Linked DNA regions of Drosophila melanogaster. The protein of the gene in region 2 interacts with the protein of the main gene of each other region in a pairwise test. Each region holds a gene or a part of one and is shown on either strand. Other genes may lie near its edges.

Region 1 (6,531 bases), 2.7 Mb from region 2:
TCCGAAATCCCGGAGACAAACTAACGGAGGACATGTTGCCCGTGGTGACATACGCCTGGGATGGAAATGCCCTGCCTGGCAACGAATTTTGGGCGGTATGCAAGAAGTGACTCTACTAAGGTTTACAATTTGTAATGCTTATTTCCCTACAGAATATGCTAATCAGCACTGGGGATCCAGCAGCAGCCTGTTCCACTTTAATCTCTGAACTCCAAAATCCCCACATTAATGTGCACTATATGAACGGAGCCAATCTGCACATTGCATCAGTGGAACACGGACTACTCCATGTAGGCGACTACGCTAGGCGACTGATTGTGTAAACACAATGTATCTAAGCACTATGTAATCCTTAAAATATATTACAATAAAGAGATCAGCTTTTTTGCTGATACATATGTACATATGTACATATGTACATATGAACATATGAACTTATGGAATCATGGAAAGCCAGCTGTGCGAACAAACCACCATATTCTTCTAAAGAATCAATGCCCGCATGCCAACAATTCCATTGAATGAGAAATTGATTGTGTGTGTTAACCATTACTGAGTTCGTTTATTGAAATTGAATAGAATTATTAGCTGTCAAATGACAGAAATGTGATATTATTGTAATGTACTGCATATAGATAGCAACAAGTAACACAAGATCCCATTTCGTTTTCGGCCATGGGTTAAATAATCCAATTCCCAGTACCCCATCTTATATCTTAAAATCCTGAATCTTAGTGTGTTTGTATTTTGGTGTGGTTGGTGTGTTTGATTTCTTTTTTTTTTTTTTTGCTTTTTTTTTTGGCATTTTCATTATTACAAATGAATCGTATTTAAAACACTTCTGTTCTGTATACTTATACTTCTGAAACAGCGTCGTATATCGAAAACAGTGATATAACATTCACAACAACATTATGCTCAAATATAATATAATATAATATTATTCTTTATCAACAATAGCATTTTATCTGTAACGGTGCACACGCCCCCGGCGAGCAGTGCGGCATTATATAGCCGCATCTCGCTCGAATTCCCACTGTTCTACCGACTGCACTACGTATGTACACTTGCCTCTCGCTCTTTCTCTCTCTCTCTCTCTATATATATATATAGACCATATATATTTATATATATATATAATATATATACGATATAACTAGATATAGTATATTTTCGTTACATTTTTTTTTTTTTTGTAGGTAATTAGTGCCGAGAAACAGTACAATAAAATCGAAAAATCAAGCACAAACATGCTCCAAATATGATTTAGTTAAAGGTATATATGCAATAGGTAGGTATCGTTAACGCTTTTAGATTTTTTCTAGGCTTGTATTTCTGGGTAATTCATAGGTATGTATGTACGTTTGTATATAATGATGGCAAACCGCTTGAGGATCCGAGAACATAAATCATTTCACATCTGTGCAATCGAACTTTTGTTACTCAAACTTCAGACTTACAACTAATTTCCTGTATAACAACAAATCGAAAACTTTGTTAACCACTTCAGTTTCCACTTTCACTTTCAGCAAGAAATTACTTATACTTATACTTATCTTGCGCTGTACTTTGCTAATATTTCAATATTGATATTTTTGAAAAACATATTTCGATTTAAATACAACAATCTCTTGTTGAAAGTGAATACATAGTGAATTCTCTTGAATGAACACAAAGAGTTTGTTTGAAACATGGCTAAGTTATAGTTCTAGATTCGCTGCGCAAATCAAAACAACTATACCTACGTATATCTTAAACATAATGTAATACGAAAAAAAAAAACATGGAAGAACAGAACGTGCTTTAAAGCTTCTTATCAACAATATTTGTTTGTGATCTAATATTCCAAGACTCTAAACAAAATATGATAATGATCGCGGCATGGGGGTGGTACAAAAATTCGTTCGATCGTTATTTTCATGATTTGTTTTTTTTCTTTTTGGGCGCTCACTTTTTGGAGGGGGGGGTTGGTTAGGAATAATACCAATAACAGATACATATAACATACAAAAGCAGCTGTGTTGTGCCGTGGCTCGTTAATTAAACTCAATTGAGAACAGCTTTTTGTCAAAGCGGTTAGGCCAACAACTTGGCTTGAGTCACCCAAGTTCGACTGCATATATGTACATGCATATACATAGCCATATACATAACCATATACACATATCGATACACATATGTAATATATGCTGCTTTTCTTATATAACATATAACAGAGCGGCGATAACAAGGAATCACTCGTCATGTCCGTTTATTGTACTGCGTGTGTTGCGTTGCGTGTACGTTGCACGTCATTCTTTGGTGGATGGGCGTATATGTTTGTTGAAGGCGCCAGGGCTTGTCCATCCGCCGCCTCCATATTTGTTTATTCCCGTAACCAGCAACCCAATCGGTCCACCCATATGTTTTTCATTTCTATTTTTTTTTTTTTTTTTTTTGTCTATCCACTCCTATTTCGCAGGCAGATTTTGTTTACTCATCAAAATCGCTGATCAGCAGGCCACGCTTGCCGAATCCCAGCGACGAGACGGCGGCCAGATTGGGTGTCGTATCGATTCCCTCGAATAGATCACTGGTCGCGGAACTGTTCAGCGAATTTAGGGTAACATTAAACGTCGATCTTCCGCCGGCCGTGTGGAAGCGTTCCTGGAGCTGCTGCTGACGCTTCAGGCGATCAAGTTCCTCGCGCAGCGCCTGGTTGCTGGCCCTTAGGCTATCCGTCTCCCTTAGACAGTCGCGCAGCCTGTTTATTGGTGGGGATAGACAAAGTTGAGTAATTGGTTTGTTTATGTTTGGTGATCGGTGAATCGGTGGATCAGGTGTTTGATTGGCTTTGTATGATTTTGTTGGGTTTTGTTTGGGTGGAAACCGCATTCGATCAGTGTGAGAGAGTGTTGTGTTCAAGACTTGAGTGACACAGGGACATTCGAGAGTCCAGCTCATATTGCACGAGATAGTGGCGAAAAAGAACCGCTCCAAAATGGGGATTTTGTTTTGCAAAAAGATAACACCAGCCCTATATCAGCACTTTAAGTACGCATTTCTACGGAAAAAGTGGGAAAGATCAAGTGTCCGCCCTTTGGGTAACTTTATTCCTAACCGTATGCGATCGATACATGATGTAAGCTCAATTGAGCGAATGGAGTTGATTAAGATCTATAAGCAAACTCATTTTTTAAGACCATTAACAAGTCAAAAAAGTTATATAGCTGTATATATAACTGTAGTACAGCAACTTATAGCGGACAATATTTGTGGATTTCTGATTCAGTGGTTTCCCCCCTACAAACCCGTCTCCACTCACGTGTCAATCTCGCCCTGCATGCTCTTGATGTACTCGCATGCCTTGATCAGGATCTGCGATTTGGAGTCATTGGGCGGCGCTCGTCCGCTGGAACTGCTGGCATTGCCTTTGGAATGGCTACTTCCGTTGGTACTCGTACTTCCGCTGGTGCTGGGACTCGTGCTGGCCTCGCTGAAACTGGAGCTGGAGCTCAGACTGGGCAGCATCTCCTTGAGCTTGAAGATCCAGCTGTTGATCTTGTCGCGGCGCCGGCGTTCGACCTCGTTGTGCGTGGCACGACGTTTATCATCGCGTTTCTTGTACGCCTCCAGTTTGCTGGATGGTGTTTGGCCAGCTGATTCTGGCTGGGATCGGGCTTGGGCGTGAGCATGGCCATGGCCATGACCATTGCCATGGGAGCCATACAGGACACTGGTGGTGGTGGTGGTGCTAGTGGTGCTGGTGGTGGTGTTGATGTTACCTGGAATGGGAGGATTCACGGTCTGGGCGGTTATTACCGCGGACTGTGTGCTGGAGGAAGTTGTAACAGATGGAAGGAGCGGCTTTTCGCTTAGCGTATCTAGTTCCAGCTTGATGGCCGCCTTCGTCGGCGGCTCACCCATTAAGCTGCCGGTTTCCTTGACCAAATATATCTCACAGCCAGTGGGCAGCTGCAGATTGTTGGGCAGCTGCAAATTGCTAGGCAGCAGCGAATGGATATCTAGATCACATCCCGGTTCCTGTTTAATCGTATAGTACTCCTGCGAATCGTCCGAGTTCTCGTCTCCGCAAATGGTGAGAAATATCTGAGCACCTTGGCTATTCATCAGCGGATTTCCCGTGTCGCTGGTGAGAATCAGACTTTGCTGACCATTGGCAAAGGAACTGTGGACCAGGGCCTCTGACAAATCAGCGGTGTGGTGATTGGTAATGGTCATGAGGCCAGGTCCAGCTGTTGGATTCGCATTGCTGATATTTACGGAGGACGGGGATGTGGAAGTGTTGGTATTGCTGGTGGAGGAGCCGAATTCCATATTCAGACGTGGCCGCTTGTGAACATTCATTGTTGCATCGATGATCCGCCGTTAGCAGTACACCAATTCCAATAGCCCAATCCCAGCCAGAATCGTATCCGTGTCGCCGGGAATCACGTAACTCCGGATCTATTCGGGATCTCCTCCACTATTTGCTCCGATCTCTAGTTGGAGGATACACGGATATGGATGGTAGATATCCCCCGATCTGGCCGCTCTGCGGTATTATTAACTACCGACTGCCTCGAGGATTTGATTTGAAATCGAGCGCTGCGGCGGATTTATGGTCGTTCGTGTTCGCACGGCCATTTAACAATACGATTTGTTGATTTTTTTTGTAACAAAATTATTTTCGTTTGGCTTAGTGTGCCCGCCGGCGGGCAGCAAATATATGCCGACAAATACACACAGTACAGTTGTTGCGAAAAATACCAGAATTTAGGCAATGTATTTTTGCGGCATTTCCAAATAATTGTTTGTATTCAAAAAAAAAAATAAACTCTTCATACAAGTAGAAAATCTGTAACTTTAAAATGAAGAAAAGCATCTTCATTTAATTCAATAAACGATTCTCAACTAAGCAAATGTGTTTTTGGAGGTTTTTCGAAAATTAAAATATACCAAATGCATATACGTAATATCTAGTGGACAAACAATACCACACTGTTGGCCAAAATGTCGTTGACTTCGCAATTTGTTGCGAATTTGAAACGCTTTCGCCTGGTGACCTTCGATGTAACGGACACGCTGCTTCGCCTGGAGGATCCCCTTCGCCAGTACCATCAGACGGCAGAGGAGTTCGGGGTCACCGGAGTGGATCGCCGCCGATTGGAACAATGCTTTCGCCAGCAATTCAAGGCGATGAGCAGCGAACATCCAAACTTTGGCCGTTACTCGCCGGGATTGGATTGGCAGCGTTGGTGGCTTCAGCTGGTGGCTCGAACCTTTAGCTGCGTGGACCACGGTCTGGCGCCCGAGAAGCTGGAGAAGATCGGCCAGCGGCTAATTTCCGTTTTTCGGACCAGCGCCTGTTGGAGTCACGTGAATGGTGCCCAGGAGTTGGTGCAGAACGTCCGAAATGCCGGCAAATGTGTGGGCATCATCTCCAATTTCGATTCGTCACTGCCACAAGTCCTGGACGCCATGGGCTTTGCCGGCAAATTCGATTTCATTCTGACTTCCTACGAAGCCGGTGTTATGAAGCCCGAACGCGGTATCTTCGAAATTCCGCTGCAGAGATTGCAAATTCCAGCGGAGCAGGCCCTTCACATTGGCAACAAGTTGGATATGGACTATGAAGGTGCCCGGAATTGCGGCTGGAGCGGTTTGCTTGTGAGCAACGCTGACAATCCCCATTCTTTTGCCAGTCTTTCCAGTCTGTTGGAGGCCTTAAAAACCCAACCAATCCGATGGTAATCCACCAAAGAAACTCCTCTCGGGAACCTGCAGTTCTTCGATTGGATAATGGCTGTTGTTATTTTTGTAGATTTCCTTTTTTTTTTGCATTAAGATAACATAACTGAATGTAAAACTAGTGGTAAATATAAATACGCGATCTTAATGATATTTTTTTGGGAAATTCGAGGTAGGAGGTTTTGGACAAATATAAAACATAATATAACAAATATAAAAATAAGCTGTCTGAAAACAGAAATAAACAAAAGAGTTCTTAGTTGAATACAATTCAAAGCTTATTTCTTATCGAATGTGAAAAAGTCGTTGTTTAAATATTCATTAAAAGATATTATTAATTAAAGTGACATAACGATGCTGTATTATGCATCGAAAGAACCTCCTCCTTTCGAACATTTCCGTGTATAAAGCCTGATAAAACTATACCTGAAAACTTATCCTATACACACACACACACACACTCGCACACGTCTCTTGCACACATACCTAAATACTAATTAAGAACAGATTAATCGTACAAGCTATTTTGTGACCAAAAATATTTGGTTGCTTTGTGAAGGGAATGTGCCAGTCCATCTGTTTGTAATGGCAATCATTACTATGTAGCCTTTGTCGCCTTCGCAGGCATTTGGGCCTTGGCCGCCTTAAGCTGCTCCAAATTGAACTGTTTCCGGATTTCGGTGGACACCTGGCGAATGACCGCATCCGTATTGGCCTTTAGATCCCGTTCCAGCACATCAATGTCCACATCCTTGCTCTCCAATCGCATTTGCATGTCCGAATAGAAGTCACAAAACAACA
Region 2 (3,418 bases):
ATACAGCAGCAGGAAGGCAGTTCAGCAGCAGCAACAAATATGCATATATCTATTTTTTTAAAGTTAATTTAAAATTGTTACAAATGTTTTATTGAGGTTATGCGCATCATTAACCAAAAGCAGGCAAATCGCAAATGATAGTAACAAAAAAACAAAACGAAACTTAGGACAAATGAGAAGAGGCAACCTCGTAGCTACAACCAATCTCTTGGCGTTTCCATTGGTATTATTGCTATAACAAGTCGAGAAGCTGTCGAGAGGCGCGCGACTCGGACACGAAAGCAAACCCTAATCCCCTGCGCCCCAAAACTAGTTAAACTCCCTAGTATTCCGATGACCATTCCCTATCCTTGTGGCGTTTGGAAAATATGATTTTTCAATTTGAAAAATGTTGAAATTGCTTTCTAAAAGTGAGACCCCTGAATTGAAATTTAAGTGTGCATTAAACTAAACCAACTCCAATACAAATGAAGATGAAGCAGCAAACAGCAGACAAAACATCCATTAAATAATAAAGTTTTAGTCTATAGCGTACTAACGAATTGATGCTGGGAGCGTTCTGATAATGGCGATTTGTCCGAGCGATCGGAAGTGGAAACGACGAAACGTGTTACATGCCTTGCATATGTACATAACAGTTCATATACATAACATACAAGAATTATTGATATATACACTTAGACACGCAATTTAACAAATAAAAGCGATATGAGCGCCAAACACGAAGACAACGTTAAGTGAATCAAGTGGAAACTTTGCCAAGTGCACTGCCTTTCAAATCGATTGGTGTGAGTGCCTAGTCCACCATTTCTGTCCACTGGGATAATGCCTTTGAGGTGACACACCAATAGCAAGCTGGTAGTCAGTCCTCGCGGAGTAACTTGTATGTTAATATAACTAATCGGGTGATGAAACGACTACTCTTATCCAGCAGGTATTATATAATTTCCATAACATCTAGATTTATTTAACAAATAACGCCGGTTTAGCAGCTGCGACGACGGCTAGTCCCAGGCCTCCTTGATCTTCAGCTGGTTCAGCCGCTCCTCGATGGTAACGTGTGGCTTCATCTTGCGCAGTGTCTGCTCGTCCGTCCATCTGGCAACGAGCTTCTCGCGCTTCTGCAGCTCCTTGGCATGACCGAATGACTGCTCCTGCAGGCGGGAAGTGTGGCATTAGGTGAGGCAATCCGTACAGAGAGCAGGACTTACCATGGTGAGATACGGGTGTCGGAGGAGTAACATTACCTGCTCCTGGCGCTCGTACTCGTGGGTCAGGGTGTCCATTGCTCGCTGACTGACCGGTTTCACCAGGCGCCGCTTGCCCCGGAATATGTGGCCGGGCACAGTCTTCTTGAACAAATTGATCAGCGTCAGGTGCATTTTGTTGCTCAAGTGCCAAGTAAAAACTACTTCAATCCGCTAACTTTTTATTTTATAATAAATTATTATTATTTCTACTTTGTCCCGAATTTGGATGTGACCAAGTTTCGCGAAGGGAAAAACCACATCGATTATTTTAGTAACTGGTCGATACGCCAAGACAAATCATGGTTTCGCTTATCGATAGGAAACTACCGCTTATTTCCGGTTGAACTTTAGAAGTCGTAATGCAATAACAATATTGGTACGTATTGTAACAACGTCGCGCATTTCAACCCGATCACAACATGGAAGACGCCGTGGAGGCCCTTTTCATCAGCACGAGCAGCGAGGACAACACGACATGCAGCGTGCAGGATTTGCGGACAGGCACAGACCTGATGCGCTACAAGGGCGGTGGATGCGCCCAGCACCACAGCCTGAACATGATCCACCTGAACTACGTGATGGCGGCGAACTCCGCCAAGCCACTGCTCCACGTGTGGCCCATCAACAAGCAAGAGCAGATGGCCGGACTGCGGTTCGTGGTGCCCGGCAAGGTCAACGCCTTGGCCCTGACGCCTGATGGGAACTTCTTGGTGGCCGGCATCCAGGAGAACATCTATCTATGGCACATGAGCTCCGGCCGTATGCTTAACACCCTGTCCAAGCACTACCAGGCGATCACTTGCCTGCGCTTCACGGACAACGGTGAGCACTTCATCAGCGGCGGCAAAGACGGAGCTGTGCTTGTCTGGGATCTCACCTTCTCCGCCGCCCCACTGGACACGGGCGGGGGCAAGGATAGCACGGAGCCGTTGTACAGCTTTAACGATCACGGTCTGGCGGTCACTGATCTATACTCCGGCATCGGAGGCATCCGTTCCTATCTGTACACCGTATCGTTGGATCGCTGCTGCAAGGTATATGACCTGTGCGGGGGCGTCCTGCTGCTGAGTGTGGTGTTCCCAGTGGCCCTGCATAGCGTGATTGTCAGCAAGATGGAAACTAGGGTGTATGTTGGCTCCAGTGACGGCAAGGTGTTTGTCTTTAATATGGAAAACGCGCCGCGCATGAAGGTGAGTCCAGATTTCGTTTATCCACTGCTTTGCCAACTAATTCCTTTACTTACCCAGGAATATCACCTAGAGGGGGAGGAAATCCAGGCCTTTGTGGGCCACACATACGGCAAGGCCATCACCTGCCTGGCTCTGAATATAAGCGCTACAACTCTGGTCTCCGGGGGCGAGGACAATCAGGTCTGCGTCTGGGACGTGGGCAGCAGGCAACTTATTAAGAGCCTGTCCCAAAAAGGCTCGGTAACCAATCTGCATATCCGCCTGCTCAGCCCAGCCATCTTTCTGCCGGAACACAAGCAGCCGCAGATGTTCGCCGACAGTCTAAAGCGAATGATTAGTCCGTGGGATGAGAATGACTGTATCGAGCTCTTCGATCCGGACTACTCCGGGGGACGCAAGACACCGGAGCTGGACTACACCCAAAGTCATCCGGGTACGGATGAGGAGATAATACTCAAACTTATAGCGTCCATGAGTTCGGGAAAGAACGAGGACGACGAAGGAATTGAGGCGGAAACCAAAGCTACAGATGTCGAGGATTCCGAGGTCGAAGAAGAAGAACCTGAATCCGAGCCAATGGAAACCGCCTCCAAGGAAGCTGAGTCCGAAAAATCGTATGCAGAATATCAGCCAGACTCAGCACAGACAAGCGACGAAAGAGTGCAAGAGCTGCAGGCCGAGAATGCGCGCCTCAAAGCGCAGTCAATGCGCTTGTTCCAGATAGCTTTCAAGTATATTACTAGCGATACCAATGGCCAGGCTGAAATCACAGAGAAGACAAAGCGCAAGAAAGCGCGGAAGACATAGTGAACCTTAAGCTTGCTTTCAATTACGTTTACTTAGGACTTAGGACAAAAATACATGATAATAGAAAAAAAACAGCACTGATTGTGCCTAAAAACGATTTGGATGAACAAAACAATAACTTCTCGTAGAGGGATCTACTTGGGTGCCGCTTCGCTGCCCGCCTGCCCGTCC

The links. Proteins that work in one complex are often made in the same cells at the same time.
Region 1: the proteins of CG14817 (region 2) and Usf interact in a two-hybrid assay, tested with the Drosophila melanogaster proteins (one large-scale study listed by BioGRID).

The regions. Positions count from the first base shown.
Region 1 is NC_004354.4:4,544,082-4,550,612, forward strand, and holds Usf (Usf), read right to left. Parts: upstream 4,714-6,531; 5' UTR 4,348-4,713; coding exon 3,305-4,347; intron 2,744-3,304; coding exon 2,473-2,743; 3' UTR 536-2,472; downstream 1-535. Other genes in the region: CG3568 (uncharacterized protein), read left to right, coding at 1-95, 153-323; CG15912 (uncharacterized protein), read left to right, coding at 4,993-5,733; CG11436 (uncharacterized protein), read right to left, coding at 6,329-6,531.
Region 2 is NC_004354.4:1,875,758-1,879,175, forward strand, and holds CG14817 (uncharacterized protein), read right to left. Parts: upstream 1,514-3,418; 5' UTR 1,383-1,513; coding exon 1,212-1,382; intron 1,155-1,211; coding exon 1,005-1,154; 3' UTR 537-1,004; downstream 1-536. Other genes in the region: CG14805 (uncharacterized protein), read left to right, coding at 1,670-2,440, 2,498-3,247; CG14818 (uncharacterized protein), read right to left, coding at 3,382-3,418.